Linked DNA regions of Mytilus edulis. The main gene of each other region encodes a partner of the protein of the gene in region 2 in a complex. Links are inferred from orthologs where the notes say so. Each region holds a gene or a part of one and is shown on either strand. Other genes may lie near its edges.

Region 1 (7,781 bases), on a different chromosome or scaffold from region 2:
TTTATCAACAAATGTTTGTCTTTACAATAAACATCATTTAAAGTGTTGTTTAAAAACCAAACAAATGTAAAAGAATATTTGACCTTACTTAATTCCATTTCAATTATAAATGAACAATGATAACAAATTATACAATGAAGGAAAAATAAAAAGCACTGGCATGACTGGTAGTACAAAAATCAGGGGCGGATCCAGCCATTTTAAAAAGGGGGGGTTCCCAACCCAGAGTAAAGGGGGGGTTCCAGCTATATGCTCCCATTCAAATGCATTGATCGGTCAAAAAAAAGGGGGGTTCCAACCCCCAGAACCCCCCCTCTGGATCCGCACCTGAAAAATGTATTTAACTTTCCTGAATTGTAAAATTGTCATTCATCCCAGTCTGATCACTTTTAAAATATTCACAATATTTTTTCTAAAGTTTCAAAAATAAATATCATACAAATATTCTATATTTGACATAACGACAATCAGAAGAGAATACTGATAAATTATAAAGTAAGAAACAGATTAACTGAAGATTAAAAGTTATGTCAAAATTAGAATTAAGATCCATTTAACTTTTTTATATAAACATCTATAAATGTAAATTCTTAATTTAGAAATGATGTAAAAAAATATATTTAAATTAACCTGCGCCAGTAACAACTACTATGACCATATAATCATCTGGTACTAATTCACTTGGAAGATGGGTCGCTTTACTGGTCAAAAATTTGTAGCCAAATTCACATGGAGGAAATGCGTATAGAACACCAACATCATCTTTGTCCTTTGACTCATATGAAGGAAGGGAGATAACACCTGCTGCCTCTTTCTGTTTTAAGTAACTAACTAAATTTTTTAATGGTCTTTGTTGAACACTCGGGTCTTCATAGTTTTGAAGTGTGCTTGTCATAGCTAGCAAAATACAATGTCCTAATTTTCCAGCACTGGATACACGTTTTCCAACGTCTTCTAATTTAGGCTGGTCAAGCCTTAATCTCTGTTTGACCTTTAACACTGGTGTTTCTGTTGAATTAGGATCTCTCATTAGGGTATCAACAATGGTTACATTTCCACTTACAACATGCATTCTAGCAGGAAAAGCACTATTTTTCAAAATGACTGCACCATTCCATGCAACAGGTAAACACTTTGCAAGATCTGGTATTGAAGTTACATTTTCAATACCCATGTCTGAACTGTCAACTGAGTTCTTCCTTTCTTTCCTTGAATCGTCATGAGGATCAATTTCACCAAGTTCTCTTTCTTGTGAAAAAAGTGCTTTTTTCTCTCTTGATCTACCTCTAGACTCAGGGCCCTTACTAAACCTTTGATCAGGTGAAGTTGATATCTTCCTCCTCCTGTACTCGTCTGGAGATAAAGGTCTTTTTCTACCTTCTTCCCAACTACCACTATGTTTAAGTTCAATGTCAGGATTTCTATTATCATTTTCACGCCATTCTTCCCTTGTTCTACTTTCTTTACCTTCACGTCTTGATTCTTCATACAAGGAATTACCATCACGATGAGTGCTGTCTTGATTTTCGGGTATCATGATATGATTTGGATCTGCAAAATCAACCCGAAGACGTTTTTTATTCTCGGTTCCTCCCATTGGGGCACCACGCATTTCTTGACAAGCTGCTTGAGCAGCATCTAAATTATCATATAAAACATAGGCATAGTCTTTACCTCTAGGCCATTCTATTCTATTTATCATCCCAAATCGATCAAATTCTTGTTCAAGTGTTTCATGTGTAATCCATGAACCAAGACCACCAACCCATAAGCAAGTTGTTGCAGTCACTTTACCATAACCAATCTTACACTGAAACCTGCCAATATACTGGCCAGATTGTTCCACTTTGGCTTTGTGAGCACAGTCTAAATTTATGAACTTTATAAAGGCATAAGCATTTCCAGTGCCTCTTTGAGGTCTTTTTATATCGGTATCTTCTATTGTTCCATATCTCCCAAACACTGTTTTTAATTCTTGTTCAGAAATATTGTAATCAAGATTGCCTACAAATAATGTCCTGGTTGCATTTTCGTCATCCTCTGGCTGGATATGATCTAGATGATATGGGAATTTGTCATTTCGTTTAGGAGCATTATATGAGTCTCCTTGATTAAAATCTGGGGTTTCCCTTGGAGGCATGTTGCGAGGAGGTCCTTGGTAAAATCCACGACCAGATGGTCTTCTACTGCTAGGATATCCTCTAAAAGATCCCCTTCCTCTATAATTACTGCTACCATAATTGTCATGGCGCTCATAATGAAAATTATCGTTTCCGGGGCTATGGCTTCGTTTCTTTTGATACACAGCTTCTATTCTTACAGGACGATCAAAGAGAACAAGTTTGGATTTCAAATGTTTAGATTCACGTGCATCTTCTGGGTACCTGAAGTTTATATAAGCTACTCTAATATCACCACTATATGTAACATTAACATTGAATTCTCCAAATTTTTTGAACTCGTGATAGAGGGTCTCTTTCAAGACGGGAACAGGGATTTTCCCAGAGATATTACTTATACAAATAGATCTAAAGTCTGGTTGGTGTCTAGTATCAGGCCTAGAAGGTGGGGAATAATCCATTCGGTCATCTCTGTATTTAGCACGAGGACGGTCCATTTCATGATCAATGTTACGGTAAGATTTTTTCATAACCATGTCTCTGCGAGGGTCTCTTCGGTCGTACATATCTGGTGACATGCCTCTGCCCATATCATGATCTGACATGCGATATGATGACCTGGACCTTTTACTTATAGGGGAATGGTCTCTCATAGGTGAACGCTTCATTTTGCAGTATTATTTGCTTTCTTCGACAAAATCTTATTTCAGGACGCGATTCGTGTAGACATATTTCTTTCAACAGATTACTGCGCGTAAGTCAAAATATAATAACCTGTCATAATATTATTGGTTTTGCTCATGCATTTACCAGAGACAGGTACGAATACTTATATTTTATATCGCTGACACTTTTGAAACATTAATGTTTTTAGTATGTGTGTATCTATTTTGTGATCTATTTTGCGCTTCAAAATGTGATAATATGGTTGTAATTAGTACTTCCGGGGGCGTGGATGGTGGTTTGTAGAAAAGCATGATTATTGTCCGTATTCGTACCCGTCTAGCACTCATTTTTAAACATTCTTTTTTCCCTCCATATTTTTCGATAAGAATAGAAATATAAACAAAAATATCTGCGCTTTGAAGCAGGACAAATCGCCCCACAACAAATCACCAACTCGCCCCATTTAAAAAAAAATCGCTCACTTATAAAAAGGGTTATAATACGTTATTTCTTCTTCTTCTTCTTCTTCTTCTTCTTCTTCTTCTTCTTCTTCTTCTTCTTCTTCTTCTTCTTCTTCTTCTTCTTCTTCTTCTTCTTCTTCTTCTTCTTCTTCTTCTTCTTCTTCTTCTTCTTCTTCTTCTTCTTCTTCTTCTTCTTCTTCTTCTTCTTCTTCTTCTTCTTCTTCTTCTTCTTCTTCTTCTTCTTCTTCTTCTTCTTCTTCTTCTTCTTCTTCTTCTTCTTCTTCTTCTGGTATGAGATAAAAAAAAAACAAAAAAAACAAGATACATATTAAACATGCTGCAGGCTATTGGTTCAGGTAATTTGTTCCAGTCTTTTATAGTTTGGCAGAAAAATGAAAATTTGTAACTGTCTTTGCTGCATTGAATTTGTCGGTATGTTTGTTCGTGGCTAGACCTGGTGTTTGATTGGCTTTTAATTTATATGTCAGTATGTGGTATGACAATTTTGTTGTTTGTTATTCTATGGAACATATTTAATCTGCTTTTGAGTCTCCTTTCTTGTAATGTTGGCCAGTGAAGTGTGTTAATCATGTTTGTTACACTTTCAGTATATTTGTAGTTCGAGCATACATATCTAAATCATTTTTATTGGCTATGAGGTGGCGTGACTTAAATCATCAGGACTTACCGTTTTTATAAGTGGGAAGAATTAGCGTTCACGTCACGGAAATACTGATTCTCACTTCTTTCTTTTTTATTTCAACAAAAAGAAAAGAACTACAAAATAGATATAAGATGTGATATGAGTGCTAATGAGACAGCTCTCAATCCAAGTCACAATTCGTAAAAGAAAAACCATTATAGGTCAAAGTACGGTCTTCCACAAGGGAGCCTTGGATCACTACCGAACAGTAAGCCATACAGGCCCCAAAATGACTAGTGTAAAACCATTCATATCATTTAAAAACAGTGATAAGAAAAGTAAAAGCAACCCGGAAAAAGGAATCAAAGCCGCCATGCACGCATTTAGCACTAGCACAATCTAAAATTGATATTTACCAATCATGGTGCCTAAAATTTGCCATTTGTAACTTTCTTTTGTAGTAGAATGCCAAAATGTTTGGTTGTGTTTTTTCTTGTTTAATGTCTGTAAATACCCGACATCATTGACATGCGAAGGAAAGGTTCTAGGTGAAACAGAAGCAACGCTTTCTGTTTTTGTTTGAGTTTATCGGATCCCAGAGGTGGATTTAGGGCCGGGGGGGGGGGCAGGGGCCCGCCCCCCTTTTTTTGAAAAAAAGGTTGCTTATAAAGAGAATCACTGAAGCGTGACTGGAGTGGGCCCCCTCTTAGGCAGTCACTGGGCCCCACTTATGAAAATTTCTGGATCCGCCAGTGGATCCCAGTTCAAAAAAGCTGTGGCTAAACAAACTATATTTAGGAAACACACGAAAAGTAAAAATGCAAATAAATGTAAAGTTTGCCTTTAAGTAGACGCCACACCACAAATGCACAGAATCCAACGACTGACGTACTGTTAACTCGGGTTACTTGAATATCATAAACATATGGAGTACGATTATCCTATTTAATTAAAATACAGATCCGTGTCCGCCGACTCACAACGACTTATTATTTCATTATTTTTTCAATTCTTTATTAACCAAATGTTTTTCAACATATACTTAATTTAGATTACAAAATTGTACGATCATGACAAAACAGACAGAAATGTAAATATAATAACAAATAACAAATACATGTAACAATTGATTACATATCAACTTAAAAACAGTCATTTTAGAGCTTTGAACAGTGCTCTAAATATATATTTTCCTAACTTGCATAAGTCTTTTCAATCAGTCAGAAAGCACCTTTAAATTGTGGCCAACAAAAGACACAGTCAATTATAAAATTTAACAAGATTTATTATACAAAAGTTTACAAGAAGTATAACACCAATATTACTGTCAACTTTAAACTGTCAAAATATGAGTCCAGTCTTTTTTCTTTATCTGTATCCGGAAATCTTCTCAGAATCTAATCTGAATATTACGTTCACTACTAAGGTCACAATCCAGTCTGAGGTTGTTTGTAGAATAAAAGTGTGAATCAAAATGCTGTGAATACTAATTTCTATCGATGTCTAAGTCTGAGACTTTAGTGTCCGTATATGTATAGTTAGTGTAAACATATTTTATTAATTATATTCAGGTACATACATAGGCATTTACATAATAATACAAGTGAAATAATTAATAGGATCCAGAAACAAGCTCTTAGCTTATATTAATCCGTTTCCTAATAAGAACATTTCATATTTTAATACTCAAAGGGTAAAATGTTATAAAAAATAACAATGTTACACTAGATGGAAAGAAGAAATATGTATAGTTATCACGGAAATTTCTAGAAATGGAACGTCCTAGAAAGTTACAACGGATGTTTCTAGTAAAATGTAGAAGTTTAAATTACGCATCTTTTATTAGGATCCTTCTGGAATCATTATGTAAGTCAAATGGAAAGTTCCAATCATTCTGTGATTGTTCCAGTGATTTCTAAACTGTACAGTTATAAGACTTTTTTGTAAACAACTATCAGGCCACACAACACAAATTAGGCCAACATAAATAAATATAATAATTACAATATCATAACAATTTGTAAAGATTTATGAATAGATGGCTAACGCCAATAATATGGTTTTATCAAATTTTCACGCAATGCTGAATATGAAGGACATGATTAGATAAAATGCATTTCATCCTCTCTATATCATCTAGACACAATGTACAGATTCTAAGGTTTATATTTACATTAGAATACCTTACCTTTCCTATATAAATATAAGAAGATGTGGTGTGAGTGCCAATGAGACAACTCTCCATCCAAATAACAATTTATAAAAGTAAACCATTATAGGTCAATGTACGGCCTTCAACACGGAGCCTTGGCTCACACCGAACAACAAGCTATAAAGGGCCCCAAAATTACTAGTGTAAAACCATTCAATCGGGAAAACCAACGGTCTAATCTATATAAAAAGGAGAAACGAGAAACACGTATAAATTACATAAACAAACGATAACTACTGTACATAAGATTCCTGACTGCAAACATTTGCAGCGGGATTAAAGGTTTTAATGGTATCAAACCTTCTCCCTTTTTCTAAAATAATAGCATAACATCACAACATAGAAAAACACACGATAAATTATCAATTGACAGGCTTAACTCAATCAAAAAACGTAAATTAACAAACTATGAACTAATAATTTTGATCTGCGATATCTGCATGCAAATGCACAGTTAATAAAATATTAGGGACAAACATTCAAGGCCAAAAAGCAAACAAACAAGTCCAAACAAAGCCATGGCAAGACACCACTGCGAAATATCTAACCCTTTGAAAAAAATCACTTTTGAAAAAGCTATATTAGATGATGACAATCTAATATATTTGATCTGCGATATCTGCATGCAAATGCACAGTTAATAAAATATTAGGGACAAACATTCAAGGCCAAAAAGCAAACAAACAAATTTAGCAATACACTTTTGTAAATTTTGGGTATTGGTTTACATACATATGTGTGCAAAGAAAAATTTGATATCATATATCTACATGTATACAAAAAACATTTTGATGAACTATCTAAAGTAGCATCAAACTCTTGTTTGACAATGTCACACAGTCTCTGTTTATAACTATAATATGATGTTTGCATACAGAATAATCAGTTTGACGAAAACCACAAATCATTTTAAACTAAGGTGGAACAATTCTCCTCGTAGATTACAAACCCAGTTCTTATCAGTCATTTGGATTCTTCAAACAGATATCATATAAATAATTGTAACAACCAAGTAATATACAATTGTCGTAATTCAATACCTTAATCCAATATTTAAATTTACACAATTTCCTAGTGACTATGTTAAAGTTATTGACCAAGCAAGTCGGTATATATCTTTCAATCTGCGCGGCTCGGTGACCCTTATTAACCCGGACGACGTAGGAATTCGGTTTAAAGGGTCATCCGACCGTGCATATTAAATGATGTTTACCGATTTGATGATTGGCCAAAAACTGTTTTAACACACGACGCCATCAATTTACGTGAACGTTTTGAAAATATTCGGACGATATACCGCAATCCACGGCTCCTAGGAAAGTTTCTTGTAGGGTAAAGAAGACGAAATACGCAAATTAATGTAGCAAAAGATTGGTTAGTTTTAAATCATTACATGTAAATAAATATTGTCTAATATTACTAAATAAACAAAACATAGCTTCTCTGCCTGAAGTATTCAGCAACTTTTTTTTTGTGCAACAGAAAATGTTCCATTAAAATTAAGAACAAAGCTAGATAAGTAAATTTGTTAACTATATATCTATGTGTACATCATCATAAAACCATTTATTTTCTTCCTTTACTAACCCACCATTTCTAAAAAATATTGAAAATGTTTTCTTGGAGTAACAATCTACTCCATCATCATCCTCTCAGCTATGCGTTATTTTTTATAGCAA
Region 2 (6,926 bases):
AGTAAAAATGCTATAGATATGGTCATGTAAAGTAATGTTTTTAAATAGTTAGAGTATTAGCTAACTTACACTCCAAGACTCTCAAAGGTAGCTGCATTAGGTTTACTGAGGTTGTTGACAAATAGTTCTAACTTGAATATAGATGGGTTAGTAGCCCTGAAATAAAATAAAAAAACAAAACTTAAGAATACTGTGGATTCAATTGTTTTTTTGGATATCAATTTTCATGGCTTAAGGAAAAACTGTTTCATCATTGATATCATATTTCATGGTTTTAACAAGCTCTTCTTACCAAGACTAAACAAAATTTGCAATTAGTCAAACATTTAAATCCCAGGTTCACCTATACCACTAAGTCATTGATTTTTTTATTCAACAATTAATAATCAATCCAAAGTAGAGAAGAATCACTTTAAGAACAGTATTTCAAGGAGTTTCAAAATGAAAAATAAAACCTTCCTAGATCTACATGTACATACATATGTATATATAGATGTACATAACTTAATAATTTCATGTCACAATTTTTTTTTGTATGTGTTTAACGCCATTTTTAGCAGCATTGGCAATATCATGATGGTGACTGATTCTTATTGGTAGAGGAAGCTTGTGAACCTGGAGAGAACCATACAACTATATATGTCAATCATTTGTTTAATATGAACAGGGTAGTTTTGAATGGAATTTGAATCACCATGTTAAAAGTGGACAGGCTAGTGATTACTGTAAATGAACTAAATTTTGTACTATGATCACTCTGAGGACCAACTGTCACAATTGAAATAGTAAGGAAAACTTTCTGCTGATAGTTACAATGTAGGTACATGTATTTTCATTGCCATGTTATCATTTTCATTTTTTTTTGCCTAGTCATGATAGTAGTATAAACCCTTCAAATATTTGAAATTTCTTGTTTCAATAACCAATCCCAAGGAATACAAATATATGTATAGATTTAACAGGTTATGAATGTTTTAATTGTTATGTTCTGTTTTCAAACTTTTAATACCACTTTACCATGTTTACTGAACTGCAGATCTAGAGTATTTTTAATATTTGTAAAATTTGGCTTTGTAAAAAAAGTTCTTCCCTTTAAACTAATATTGTTTTTCTTTTCGAATACTGCATGGGATGAATAAGTGCTGCTACAGGTACATGGTTGTGGGGATGATTTCTTATTATCTAACTAAACTCTAATAAATATTAAAACAACAGCTTTGCATTTTGGTGTATACTAGTTAAGAAGAAAAGATAAGATGACGTCAACCTTGGATACAATGTTACTTCCGAGATGTTGCTGGTTATGCTGTTTTCTCAACACTTTCAGGGCTTCAAAAAAGTATTATATGCAGAAGAGAAAATTGAAATACAATATATACATGTACATATAACTTAAATTAAATTTAGATTATTGTCATCTAAGAATACATGTAGTTGTCTTTTTCTAGGCAAAATATAAGGTGACATTGATCTTGGATACAATGTTACTTCTGAGACGTTGCTGGTCCAGAGGTCTTCTGGACAATGGTCAACACAGTGAACACACTGTATGTTGCATTGTTGTATTCAAGACATGGAAGTACATTTTATTCCTTTTACTAATAGTTTGTGTACATGCATATGTCTCTAATCATCAAGATCATTATTCTGATCCTTTATCTTTTACTTGATGTACATGTAGCTTACCCTAGCCTAACACCTCCTGGTACATCTGCTTCAACTTTGGTTTGCAGGGGTATTACCCTGATTTCCTGAATAATAACTGGCCTTGGAAACTGTACCAAGTCTAAATTTAACTCCTATAAAGAGAATAAAAGAAAGTGAATACAAATTCTCCAGTGTGAAGAGGAACACTGTGGGGAATATAAAATTTGTTTAGTGTTAAAGTAAAATATTCAATGCATTGATTCATGCAAGGTAGGGATTTTTTGCATTTGTTAAAGGGTACAAAAAGCATCCAAAGTGGAAATGGTTGTGACCTATAAAAAAATTGTAGGCCACCTTCTTCTATTTATATAGATAATCACCCTTCCCATGGATAGAAACAAGTGTCTGTGCCCAATCGGATAATTATTAAATCAATTAATTCATATTATATGTGATGAACCATGATGTTGATCAAACTATGACAAAGCGGTTTCTAATGAACAGCTCATGAATAAATGTGTACATATTTAAAAATAATTTAAAATGATGCTTTGACACAAATCCATCGATGCAACTAAAAAGATAATAAATGTAATATTTTTTAGATCCAGTTTCATTTTAAGGTTCATCATAAGGAATTGAAAAATATGGCCGTGTTTACACCTAAAAAATTACTATGAGTGCAGACAAACTGGTACATCCAGGAAAGTTTTAAGGCATGGCAGGAACTAGATATATAAAAGTTATACGAAGTCTACGTTTCAGAAAATTAAAAACTTACCTGGATTTTCATGTCCAGTTTTTTTCAGTCTGCAGAAGATAGCAAAATAAACAAACACCCGAGTTTCATTTGATACGGTCCACTCAGTTACACAGTTTAAATCACCTATTGTTTACAGGTGTCTATTGTCCATCCATTGTCCATTTAAATCAATACTACTCACAACATTGATTATATGAGGGGAGCTTCTCAATCGTTTTCACTACTTAGTTAATTTTTGCACCTTCTGCAGGAACGAAAAAAACTGGAAGGCAAAATCTAGAAAAGTTTATAATTTTCTAAAACATAAAATGCATTTAAAATTTATATACCTAGTTCCTGCCATCCCTTAAAACTGTTGCAAGTGCATAGGTTAGTCTGTACCCAGAGTAAAATTTGGGGTGTAAATACGGCCATATTAGCCAAAAGGTTATGATGAACCTTAAAAATAATAATACACGTCAAATGCGGCTATTTTATGTTGCATTTAATGGATTTATACACGAATGAAAGTTATTTGTGTTTGATACTGGAATAAATACACTCTTTATAAACCATATACCTCAGCGCTTTCGTGAGAAAACGTATCAAAAAACAACAACTCGGGTTCCTGCCCGGTGTCAGCCATTTTTTGGAAATAGTAAAAAATGGATCGAAGATGGTTTGGTACAGAAAATACGGAACGAGAATAATTGTCTTTGCTATCTCAATATTGTTAGGTGAATTGTCGTATTGTTTGTATTATAACCCACATTCCGTGTTATTTATATAACTCAGGTCAAAAGAAATATGCATAATAAAAACGATTAATCACAGTGGTCGAAAACTCCCACATTATTATTCCCAGAAATCTGTCTCTCATTGAAAAATGTTTTCCTATACAGTATACCTTTAATGATATATTAAGATATCATAGGCGGATCTAAGGGGGATCGCGGCCGGATCCCCCCCCCCCCCCCTTTTGTAGAAAAAAAATGAGTGATTATACGGTAAGTCAGTGGACCCCTTCTAAGAAGTTCTGGATCAGCCACTGGGTATAAAGTGTTTTTTTCCAGAGACAAAATTCCTGTGAATCACGACGGTGGAAAGATTGTATAATTCAAAAAATATAATATGTATTTAGGTATAGTGCGAGCAATAAAACATTTATAATATATAGCACTATTGTAAGCAGTTGCATTTTAATATATATTACTGCAGTTTTCAAAAATATATAACCAATTTGTCAGCGGATTGTCGTGAGTCAATATGATAGCAGATACTATTCATGATTGGCATAATGTGACAACTTTTCATATCATAATCAAACAGTATGTGCATTGCGGTCAGTTCATGTTTTAAATTTTCATCTATAAATAAAAACATCAAGATCAAGCACGTACATATGTCATTATTTTATACGTCTTTACATTGACATGTTATTTTCCTCTTCTTATAATTGAAACACTTAAATATGACACTCAGTAAAGCAGCAGCGTAAGAGTAGACTGAAAAGACACAGAGAAAAAGGGGGGTGGGGTAGTATTCTGTGAGATTGTATATTTGTTCTGCATAATATATGTTCCACATATATATGCATGGAACAAAAAAGTATGTTATAAAATTCCTGGAACTTAAATTACATGATATTTATTGAGGGTGAGGCAAAAAATATATAAATACTGTAAGTGGAGCATGAATCATCAATTAAATACATGGCATGGGCTGCGCCATCCGCATGATCCGCGAACGACCTAGATTAGAGAAACACATAAACGATATGAAAAGGCAAGCCAAGAGAAACCTTGGTTGATAACACTGAAATCTCTACATAGTCTGAAGATTCCTAAAAAGACAGGGTTATAAGATATACGTAAGACCAACAATGGAATATGCTTCGACAATATGCTACCCATATCAGTAAAAGCCCAAAGTAACAATCGAAAAAGTACAAAGACGAGCTAACTGCGCGGTGTGTAAGAAGAAGACATGGAAAAAGACCAAGTGACATCAACATGATACAAGAACTAGGATGGAAAAACTTACAAGCGAAGCACAAGGCAACAGGAATTTTTGTGTGCTGTACAATTTAACAAATGACCTGGTAGCTATAGACAAGAACAACAAAAAAATCTACAGAATCCAACAACAAGCTCTAATGGAACAGGAAATCATACATGATACATCAGTTATAGCTGACAACATATTGATTTATTTGTATTTGATTCTCGCAATTGCAAGCATATTTTTTAGCGGTATATAATAGTATTTGTTCTTGTACTCGTGATATTCTTTCCTGTTTGTTATATTTGAATGTTTTGTCATTAGAGAATTTAGTTTGATGTTATATTTGCTATCTACTCTTCAATCTTTATTTCATTTTTAAGACTCAGGTGATGTAGAGTTAAATATGATGTCTGTTGTTGTATAGTTGAAAATTATGATGCCTTGTAGATCGACGTCCTTCGAATATTTATTTTAGTACAGGTATTGTTCATATCTTTATATTCAGACTATAAAATAGTATCACAAAAATACCGAGCTCCAATGTACTTGAGTATATTACAAGTGGAGGTCTATAAAATACCGAGCTCCAATGTACTTGAGTATATTACAAGTGGAGGTCTATAAAATACCGAGCTCCAATGTACTTGAGTATATTACAAGGGGAGGTCTATAAAATACCGAGCTCCAATGTACTTGAGTATATTACAAGGGGAAGTCTATAAAATACCGAGCTCCAATGTACTTGAGTATATTACAAGGGGAGGTCTATAAAATACCGAGCTCCAATGTACTTGAGTATATTACAAGGGGAGGTCTATAAAATACCGAGCTCCAATGTACTTGAGTATATTACAAGGGGAGGTCTATAAAATACTGAGCTCCAATGTACTTGAGTATATTACAAGGGGAGGTCTATAAAATACTGAGCTCCAATGTACTTGAGTATATTACAAGGAGAGGTCTATAAAATACTGAGCTTCAATGTACTTGAGTATATTACAAGGGGAGGTCTATAAAATACCGAGCTCCAATGTACTTGAGTATATTACAAGGGGAGGTCTATAAAATACCGAGCTCCAATGTACTTGAGTATATTACAAGGGGAGGTCTATAAAATACCGAGCTCCAATGTACTTGAGTATATTACAAGTGGATGTCTATAAAACACCGAGCTCCAATGTACTTGAGTATATTACAAGTGGATGTCTATAAAATACCGAGCTCCAATGTACTTGAGTATATTACAAGTGGAAGTCTATAAAATACCTAGCTCCAATGTACTTGAGTATATTACAAGGGGAGGTCTATAAAATACCGAGCTCCAATGTACTTGAGTATATTACAAGGGGAGGTCTATAAAATACTGAGCTCCAATGTACTTGAGTATATTACAAGGGGAGGTCTATAAAATACCGAGCTCCAATGTACTTGAGTATATTACAAGGGGAGGTCTATAAAATACCGAGCTTCAATGTACTTCAGTATATTACAAGGGAAGGTCTATAAAATACCGAGCTCCAATGTACTTGAGTATATTACAAGGGGAGGTCTATAAAATACTGAGCTCCAATGTACTTGAGTATATTACAAGGGGAGGTCTATAAAATACTGAGCTCCAATGTACTTGAGTATATTACAAGGAGAGGTCTATAAAATACTGAGCTTCAATGTACTTGAGTATATTACAAGGGGAGGTCTATAAAATACCGAGCTCCAATGTACTTGAGTATATTACAAGGGGAGGTCTATAAAATACCGAGCTCCAATGTACTTGAGTATATTACAAGGGGAGGTCTATAAAATACCGAGCTCCAATGTACTTGAGTATATTACAAGTGGATGTCTATAAAACACCGAGCTCCAATGTACTTGAGTATATTACAAGTGGATGTCTATAAAATACCGAGCTCCAATGTACTTGAGTATATTACAAGTGGAAGTCTATAAAATACCTAGCTCCAATGTACTTGAGTATATTACAAGGGGAGGTCTATAAAATACCGAGCTCCAATGTACTTGAGTATATTACAAGGGGAGGTCTATAAAATACTGAGCTCCAATGTACTTGAGTATATTACAAGGGGAGGTCTATAAAATACCGAGCTCCAATGTACTTGAGTATATTACAAGGGGAGGTCTATAAAATACCGAGCTTCAATGTACTTCAGTATATTACAAGGGAAGGTCTATAAAATACCGAGCTCCAATGTACTTGAGTATATTACAAGGGGAGGTCTATAAAATACCGAGCTCCAATGCACTTGAGTATATTACAAGGGGAGGTCTATAAAATACCGAGCTCCAATGTACTTGAGTTTATTACAAGGGGAGGTCTATAAAATACTGAGCTCCAATGTACTTGAGTATATTACAAGGGGAGGTCTATAAAATACTGAGCTCCAATGTACTTGAGTATATTACAAGGGGAGGTCTATTAAATACCGAGCTCCAATGTACTTGAGTATATTACAAGTGGAGGTCTATAAAATACCGAGCTCCAATGTACTTGAGTATATTACAAGGGGAGGTTTAT
Region 3 (7,885 bases), on a different chromosome or scaffold from region 2:
TAACGGTGACATAAAACATGCATAAGAAAATCTCCACTTCAGTTCTTACATGTATATGATCTATAAATAGATTTATCGGAATTCAGAGAACTCTCGCATTTTTATCAAAACTGGGGAATTCCCTCTGACATGTTTCTAAATTTATAAAAACACTAAATATAAATACTGCTTAATTCTGATTTTCTGTGTTGTTAAAAACATGCATATAAGTCAAGGGAAATATCAAACATGAAGATTATGAAAAGAACATTGAAGGAAAGTTAAAGTTCAATCCCTTTGTTTGTTTTTACCATTTAAAGCAAGACAATCATAAGAATCTGAGATGTTCCTTAATGTTTAGAATAAAACGGTTGACGTGAGGGCATGGCCCTGAGCCAACGGTATACGTCTACAGATTGCTTAAAAGCAATCGTATCCCAAAAAAAGGCGGCTAAAAATTTCCATTCATAAAATATTTCATACACAGGATTTTTTTCTCCTAAACTGGAGGACGGGAGGAAACCCCTGAAAACGGGATTATTGTACTCCGGTCGGGAGGTTCACATGTATGAGTTAAACACATAATTCATATATAAATATAAGTCTTATCATAAAGTAGATATATTTTGTCATGTAAATTTACCAAGATAAGTGTGGTTTATTTGATGTGAAATGTTATATAATGGTTTTGGAATGCCATCAGCAACATTTTTTGATTGAATGGTTTGTATTCTGTACCCTTCTGTGATGATATGAATGTGCTTATAACAATTATGAAGTGACAGATTACAAGTTCAATGCACTAACATTACTATAAAACTTAGTTTGAATGACATTTTATTGATATTATCTGAAATTATTAGGATAATAGCAAGTACATTTTTAACACATGTCCATTTCCACATTGTATCTTTATAAATGATGACGCGAAGATGAAATCTGCTACAATTAGGTAGTGTCAAGTCCTGTCAATATATATATATGTTCATGTGTCTGTTAAACAATTAAAAGGAATTCTTCATATCTTAAAATGAGACTGTAGCTTATATAATCATGATAATGTGACAGGGTTAAAATCACAATAATCTAAACTCACAATTTGAAATTTTATATTTGAATTAAACAGGATTTTTTAACTATGAACAATGATTGTTCCGACTTTTGAACATCCACTTTTTTCAGCTTGACGAGAATGAAAGTAGCATTGTAATAAGTGTTAAAAAAATAGTGGATTATCTAGACTCAGAAAGATCTTTATAAGGCACATGAAAATATCTATTCCTGTATATAGGTACAGATGGCTAAAAAATGTATAAAATCAACCAGGGCTCACGCTACCAGGCGACTTGGGCGAAGAAGTCGCCTTCCCGACCGTCACTCCGTTTTCCCCAACCCCCAAAAGCGAAAACAAGTCGCCCTGTTCTTGACGATACTCGCTTTCAGTCGCTTTCGTCATCGGACATAATTTTCAATTTTTACCAAGTTGATGAAACATCAATTTTTTATTGATAATTAAAGAAATTCAGACATAAACGATTCATTATCTTTAGAAAAGAGGTTGAAGCATTGTCTTTGCAGTGTGTAGCAGGTTATTTGATAAAAATACAACTTTTTATCACTTCGTGCATCTCCGCAAGTTCCGGGGCTTGTTACTCAAAAACGTACATTAACCTAAATTTCGGCGGCAAAATAAGTTTGTTACTTCATTTAAACGTGATAAAGGTTGCCTCCGGTAAATGTTTAATCCATTTATTGCATTAAAAACGTCATGTTCCTTTCCAAATAACTTGTCAAACATCGTTTATTTTTGTAAATTTTCTTTCATTCGTCCGCCATTGACCGATTTCTAAACTACTGATCTGAACCGGACAAGCTATGACCGAAATCCGTACTTTTACAATAATTACTACGGACGCACGGATGGAACAGCTGACAGAAGAATATTGATCCCAAAGGGAAAAATTACGCATTCCACTCGCATTAAGAGACTTTTTGTTACATCTAATTGATTGGTGTATATAATTCCCTATATTTTTTATGGATTGTTTTAAACTATTGATTAAAGTTGCTTAACTCTGAGACTATTATACTAATATCAATATATTATGGCCCAGCTTAATAAATTTTATATTTTTTTATGAAAAACACTGAATTTCATACACAAGATAATTTTTAATTAAATTGTAATTGATATATCATAATTTCTTTACATTTTTAAAATTGTTTTTTTTTTTAGTGCTAGATAATTAGTTGATAGTTTCCCACAAGAACTTACTTAGTAAAACTTAAACAACTTTTAATTTCAATTGTTACTTTAATTGTAATTTTTTTACTCAGGTATGAATTGAACAATATAAAAAGAACATTATTTACATATGGCCCTTTATACTATTGTAAAATCCAAACATTGTAGCGTACCATGCAAATGAGCACTTCTCTTTCAAATCTCACCACTTCTCCCTATCAGTTTCAAAAAGAGAAGTCACTTCTCCCTATAATTCTGAAGTAGTGTGAGCCCTGTTGACGTCATACAACAATCTCTTTTCCATGGTGGCAACAGGTATTTTGTATTATGACGTCAAATTTTAATGGATCCTGTGTGATGTCCAGTATTAAATGGCGAACAAATAACGATAAGGTTTATTGTTTAAAGACGTCACAATTTTAAGGGAACCTTTGTTGAAACCAGTAATGGCAGACAAATTATTGATATGATAAATTCACAGAGCCGAAGTTATTCATGACAAGGATTTGTTTAGTAAGATTTATAGCTATACAAATCCTTGTTTTCATCAAAGTGAAAGTTTAAGAACATTCAACAAAAGACAAGGATGAACAGTAAACAACTGAATCTTTCATAGTTTTCATTTTAAAAATTGAGATTAAAAATCATTTACTGCTTGTGCAAGCAGCTGTTTTCTTTTCTGTGATCTTTCTCGCAGCTCTTTTAATCTATCACCCATATTTTCCGCGTACTAGCTGGGTTTGTCTGGTACCTAAATATACCAGTCGATTGAACTTTTACGACAACTACTTATAACAAACTTATTCCATAGGAGTCAACGTGTTCATTCGATAGTGAAAAATATCACTTTTCCATACAAAAAAAGACATTGAAAGTAGTGAAAAAATAAAAAGACATTTGTTTTTACGTTTTACGTTTATATCTAAATACCAATATTTTATTTCTTAAATCGTGCGTAGCAACGTTCGATAAAAGGACACCACTTATCTTCTTCTTCTTTAGGTATACAATATTCCATCGACTTCGATGATTACATACAGTTCGCATACGTGGACTATTTACCAATTTTTTACCCCAATTTAAACGAAATATAATTAAAGTGCAATAAAATGTCAAATTTGTGATTAAAACTATCATGACTATATACAATTTAAATTGATGCTTTTTATTAATAGACAGAGAACAGCTGAAGTGAGCTGTTCTTTGAAGCTATCAATGGATGGTGCCTGGTACCACAGGGAGCTGGTTACACTGTGATATTGAATATGGAAAGTATGAATGTCTGTAGGACTCTTTTGATGTATGAATATGTAGGAAACCCAGTGATTTGTTGCCTCTGGATGTAATGTCATTTATATGTTTATCCCACTTTAGGTTTGACTGTATTGTGACACCAAGGTACTTAGCTGATGTGACTGATTCCAGTGTATGACCATTTACAATGTAGTTGTGCTGTATAGGTCGTTTCTTTTTGGTGACAGATAGCACAGTACATTTATCTGGATGGACTGAAGCCATCAGCCAGTCCCTCTCCCAACTAGCTGCCGCATCTAGATCTACTTGGAGATTATCACAGTCACTCTGGGATTTGATCGGTCTGTATATTATGGTATCATCTGCGAATAGCCTGAGCATGCTGTGGGTCAAGTAGTCTGGCAGGTCATTAATGTAGACCAGAAACAAGACAGGGCCCAATACAGTACCTTGTGAAACACCAGAAGTGACAGGGAGGATGACTTTCCATCTATGACAACAGTTTGTGTACGGTTGGAAAGAAATGCTTTTATCAAGTTTAGTGTTTGTCCAGAGATGTCGTAGTACTGTAATTTACAGAGAAGTCTTCGGTGATGAACTTTATCAAATGCCTTAGCAAAATCCATAATAACTAAATCTGTTTGAAATTTTTATTGTCTGTTTCTGATAATTCTTGTATGAAGGAAAGAAGTTGAGTTTCGTATGAGCGTGAATTTCGGAAGCCGTGTTGGAGATCATAGAGGATGTTGTTATTTTCGAGGTGATTCATAAGATGTTTTGTGACTATGTGTTCCTAACTTGCAACAGATGCAAGTTAATGAAATAGGTCGGTAGTTTACTGCTTTGTGTTTATCTCCTTTTTTAAAAGCTGGAGCGACGTTAGCATGCATCCAGTATGTTGGAGTTTGCCTAGCGTGAAATGACTTTTTGAATATGAGCTGCAGTATTGGTGCTATTTGTTTGTGTAGTTCTTTTAGAACTCAACCATTAATGTTGTCTGGACCGGTGGCTTTGTGAGGGTTCATGTTTTTCAGAATTTTTGTAATGCCAGGAAAATATGAGGTATTCTATGGTGTTTCTTTGGTATTCTGTGGTGTTCTGTGGTAAAAACTGCTCCCATCAATATGTTTAAATCCTGTGGGAGAATCAGACACAATGAATAGACAATCTCTGCACCCTGTGGAGGAGCAAACCTCAGTTTTAAACTCAGCCATTGGAAGGTGCTATTTTAAGTGCATATGGAAACAATAGAAATATAGATAAACAGAACCAGAAACAAACGGTTAAAAGAAGCAACAAGAAAAACCAGCAAAACCGGAAACTTGAATTAGAACAGATAGCTTATATAAGCTCATTAGAATAGCGCATTAAGAATCAAGACAAAACAATAGATTTACTAAAGAAAAACACGGAGATCATTCAAAGTAATGGACAGCCAGCAGATAACATCAATAGCATGAAAAGGCAACCAAATATAGAACAAGAAAATCTGAATAGAAGCAATATAGATCAAATGAGAGATGAGCTTCAAAAACAGATAAAACAAGAAATGCATGGGCAAATGATGGATATGAGGCTAAAGCAGCTATAAAGATATAACTCTGGACAAAATCAACATCAAATGGATCCAAGAGGGTATAACTCTGGACAAATCCAACATCAAACTGATCCAAGAGGGTATATCTCTGGACAAATTCTACATCAAAATGACCAAAGAAGGTATAACTCTGGACAAAATCAACATCAAATGGATCCAAAAAGGTATAACTCTGAACAAAGCCAACATCAAGCTGATCCAAGAGGGTTTAACTCTGGACAAAATCAAAAACAACATCAAAATGACCCAGGATGTTTGAACTCTTGGCAAGGTCAACATCAACAAAATGATCCAAGAGGGTATCAATATAACTCAGAGCAAAGTCAAATTCACCAAAATCATCTGAGAAGATTTAACTCTGGACCACATCGGCAACAACAAAAAGACCAAAGAGGGTATTACTCTGGACAAAATCAACATCTTCAAAATGATCCAAGAGGGTATAACTCTGAACAACATCAGCAAAATGATAACAAAAGGGTACAACTCTGGAAAAAGTCGACATCAAAATGATCCCTATACTAATGGACAAGGTCAATCTTATTTAAACGGTCAACTCCAGTTTTATTCAAGGCAAGACCAAGTCAGTCAAATTGATTAATTACACTACAACTCAGTGCATCACGATGATCTACTAAGACAAGGACTGCCGAGAGTGCCACCACCACCTTATCAACAGAATAGTAATCTCTATAACCATAACAAAATATCAGTAGAAAGACACAGTGATAATGGGCAAAGAAAAGAAAAGTCCAAATCAGAAGGTAGCTCAAGTCCGCTAAGTCATGCCGAAACAGAAATTAAACTGACCCAAGCATTTGATAAACTTACAAATCCAGAGTCTCTGCTAAATGAAGAACAAAACCTAAAAGAAACACCAACAATTACTGCAACTCCTGACACTGAAATAACAGTTCCTAATAATCAACATGTTGACCATCCTTCAATGAACCTTCCTCAACATTCAACAGAAGAAGAAAAGCCAAAACAGTATTTTTAGGGAAAATAGACCAACCAAAGGAACCACCAGACATCCAAAAACTTGGACAGGAGACCGAAATACTACTGAGACAATGCTAGACATTGTCTCAATGAACATTGAGAGAATGAAAGGCAGCAATGTATATCTGAAAGAACTTTTAAAAACAAACACAATTCTATGCTTGCATTGGTTACACGGATATGAATTAGTCGCACTAAAAGAAATTCTGCCAGACTGCGACTATCATATCTCAAGCTTTGATGATAATCTAGTTGATTTGGAACTACAAAGAAGAAGGGGGAATGGGGGAGTAATAACTATATGGCCTCCAACAATCTCACATAAGATCAGGAAGCTAGAAAAAGAAGAATAGTCATCGAAATTTAGTCTGAACCAGTTAAAGTAATCCTAATTAATAGATATATGCCAACAATGGCAACAGGATCAGACAAAGAGTACAGAGAACAACTGGATAAAATTTCGTCAATTATTGATAAATATGAGCAAACACACAATGTCTTCATAGTGGGGGATTTGAATGGAACACTCATGCAAAGTAGAAATAATAACCATGACAATTTGCTTAAGAACTTCTGCAGTCAACATCAGCTATTAAAAGCATAGTTAAAAATACTCACAAACCTACTTTTTATCACCATAATAAAAATTCCACCTCGCAGATAGAGTACAACTTCAGAGGCAGTAATCTTTTGGATTCAGCGATTATGGACCAACATCTACTTAACAGTTCAGCACATGTACCAGTAAAGGCAAAACACAACCTGATCGTTAAGGGGAAAACTTAGATGATCAGCACAACAAGCAAAAAGAAAACTATTCTGAAATGGGAAGAAAAAAACATAGAAAATTACCAACCAAAGGTAATTCAAGTGAGGAAGAAGACTGAAATGCAAAAAGGAAACTGATGTAGAACAACAAGCAATTGATATCATAAACATTTTACAGGAAGCTACTGAATTGAGTGTTGTTCAGAGTGTTTTGATGGCTTTCGAGATATTGTCATCTATGTGTTTGTCCTATTTAAGGTTTGATTGTAATGTAAGTACTTAGCAGATGTAACAGATTCTAAAATATGATTGTGAAGAGTGTAATTATGTTGTAAAGGTTGACGTTTAGTTGTGACAGAGAGAACATTACACTTGTCTTGGTGGGAGGCCATCATCCAGTCCTCCTCCCATTTTGCAGCTGCATCAAGGTCAGCTTGCAGTTTTAAACAGTCACTCTAGGATTTAACTGGCATATATATGATGCTGTCATCAGCAAGTAATCTTAGTTTGTAAGGTAGTCTGGAAGGTCATTAATATAAGCCAAGAATAATACTGGACCTAAGACAGTACCTTGTGGAACCCCAGAGGTGACTGGGACTGTGCTTGATGATCTTCCATCCAGAACAACTGTTTGGGTTCGATCGGAGAGAAATGCAGAGATCCAGTTTAAAGTGTTTCCATTAATGCCAAAATATTTAGTAGTGTAATTTGTAAAGTAACTAAGTGACGATGCGGAACTTTATTAAAGGCCTTCGCAAAGTCCATTATTACAAGGTTTCTTTGTGTATTTGAATTGTTTGTGGATTGAAGTTTTTAGATGAAGGAGAAAAGTTATGTCTCGCAATATCAAGAGTGCCGAAAGCCATGTTGGAGGTCATACAAGATGTTATTTGATTCGAGATGTTTCATAATATGTGATGTTACTATGTGTTCCCTTAACTTGCAGAATATACAAGTTAATGAGATAGGTCTATATTTGACCGGTTTATGGTTATCCCCCTTTTTATATGCACGTGCGACTCTAGCGTGTTTCCAGTCGT

What was found.
Region 1: protein virilizer homolog (region 2) and RNA-binding protein spenito-like share a complex: the UniProt entries of both Drosophila melanogaster proteins name them as parts of the WMM complex. The link is inferred for Mytilus edulis from reciprocal best matches to the Drosophila melanogaster genes vir and nito.
Region 3: protein virilizer homolog (region 2) and N(6)-adenosine-methyltransferase non-catalytic subunit METTL14-like share a complex: the UniProt entries of both Drosophila melanogaster proteins name them as parts of the WMM complex. The link is inferred for Mytilus edulis from reciprocal best matches to the Drosophila melanogaster genes vir and Mettl14.

What each region holds. Positions count from the first base shown.
Region 1 is NC_092344.1:101,822,143-101,829,923, forward strand, and holds the start of RNA-binding protein spenito-like, read right to left. Parts: upstream 3,064-7,781; 5' UTR 2,789-3,063; coding exon 631-2,788; intron 1-630. UniProt on the Drosophila melanogaster protein: RNA-binding protein that acts as an associated component of the WMM complex, a complex that mediates N6-methyladenosine (m6A) methylation of mRNAs. M6a modification plays a role in the efficiency of mRNA splicing and is required for sex determination.
Region 2 is NC_092348.1:85,678,826-85,685,751, forward strand, and holds the start of protein virilizer homolog, read right to left. Parts: upstream 3,093-6,926; 5' UTR 3,036-3,092; coding exon 2,970-3,035; intron 1,800-2,969; coding exon 1,687-1,799; intron 157-1,686; coding exon 70-156; intron 1-69. UniProt on the Drosophila melanogaster protein: Associated component of the WMM complex, a complex that mediates N6-methyladenosine (m6A) methylation of mRNAs, a modification that plays a role in the efficiency of mRNA splicing and is required for sex determination.
Region 3 is NC_092352.1:28,718,934-28,726,818, forward strand, and holds the start of N(6)-adenosine-methyltransferase non-catalytic subunit METTL14-like, read right to left. Parts: upstream 3,017-7,885; 5' UTR 2,943-3,016; coding exon 2,877-2,942; intron 1-2,876. Other genes in the region: putative uncharacterized protein DDB_G0279653, read left to right, coding at 5,100-5,515, 5,715-6,075. UniProt on the Drosophila melanogaster protein: Non-catalytic component of the WMM complex, a complex that mediates N6-methyladenosine (m6A) methylation of mRNAs, a modification that plays a role in the efficiency of mRNA splicing and is required for sex determination.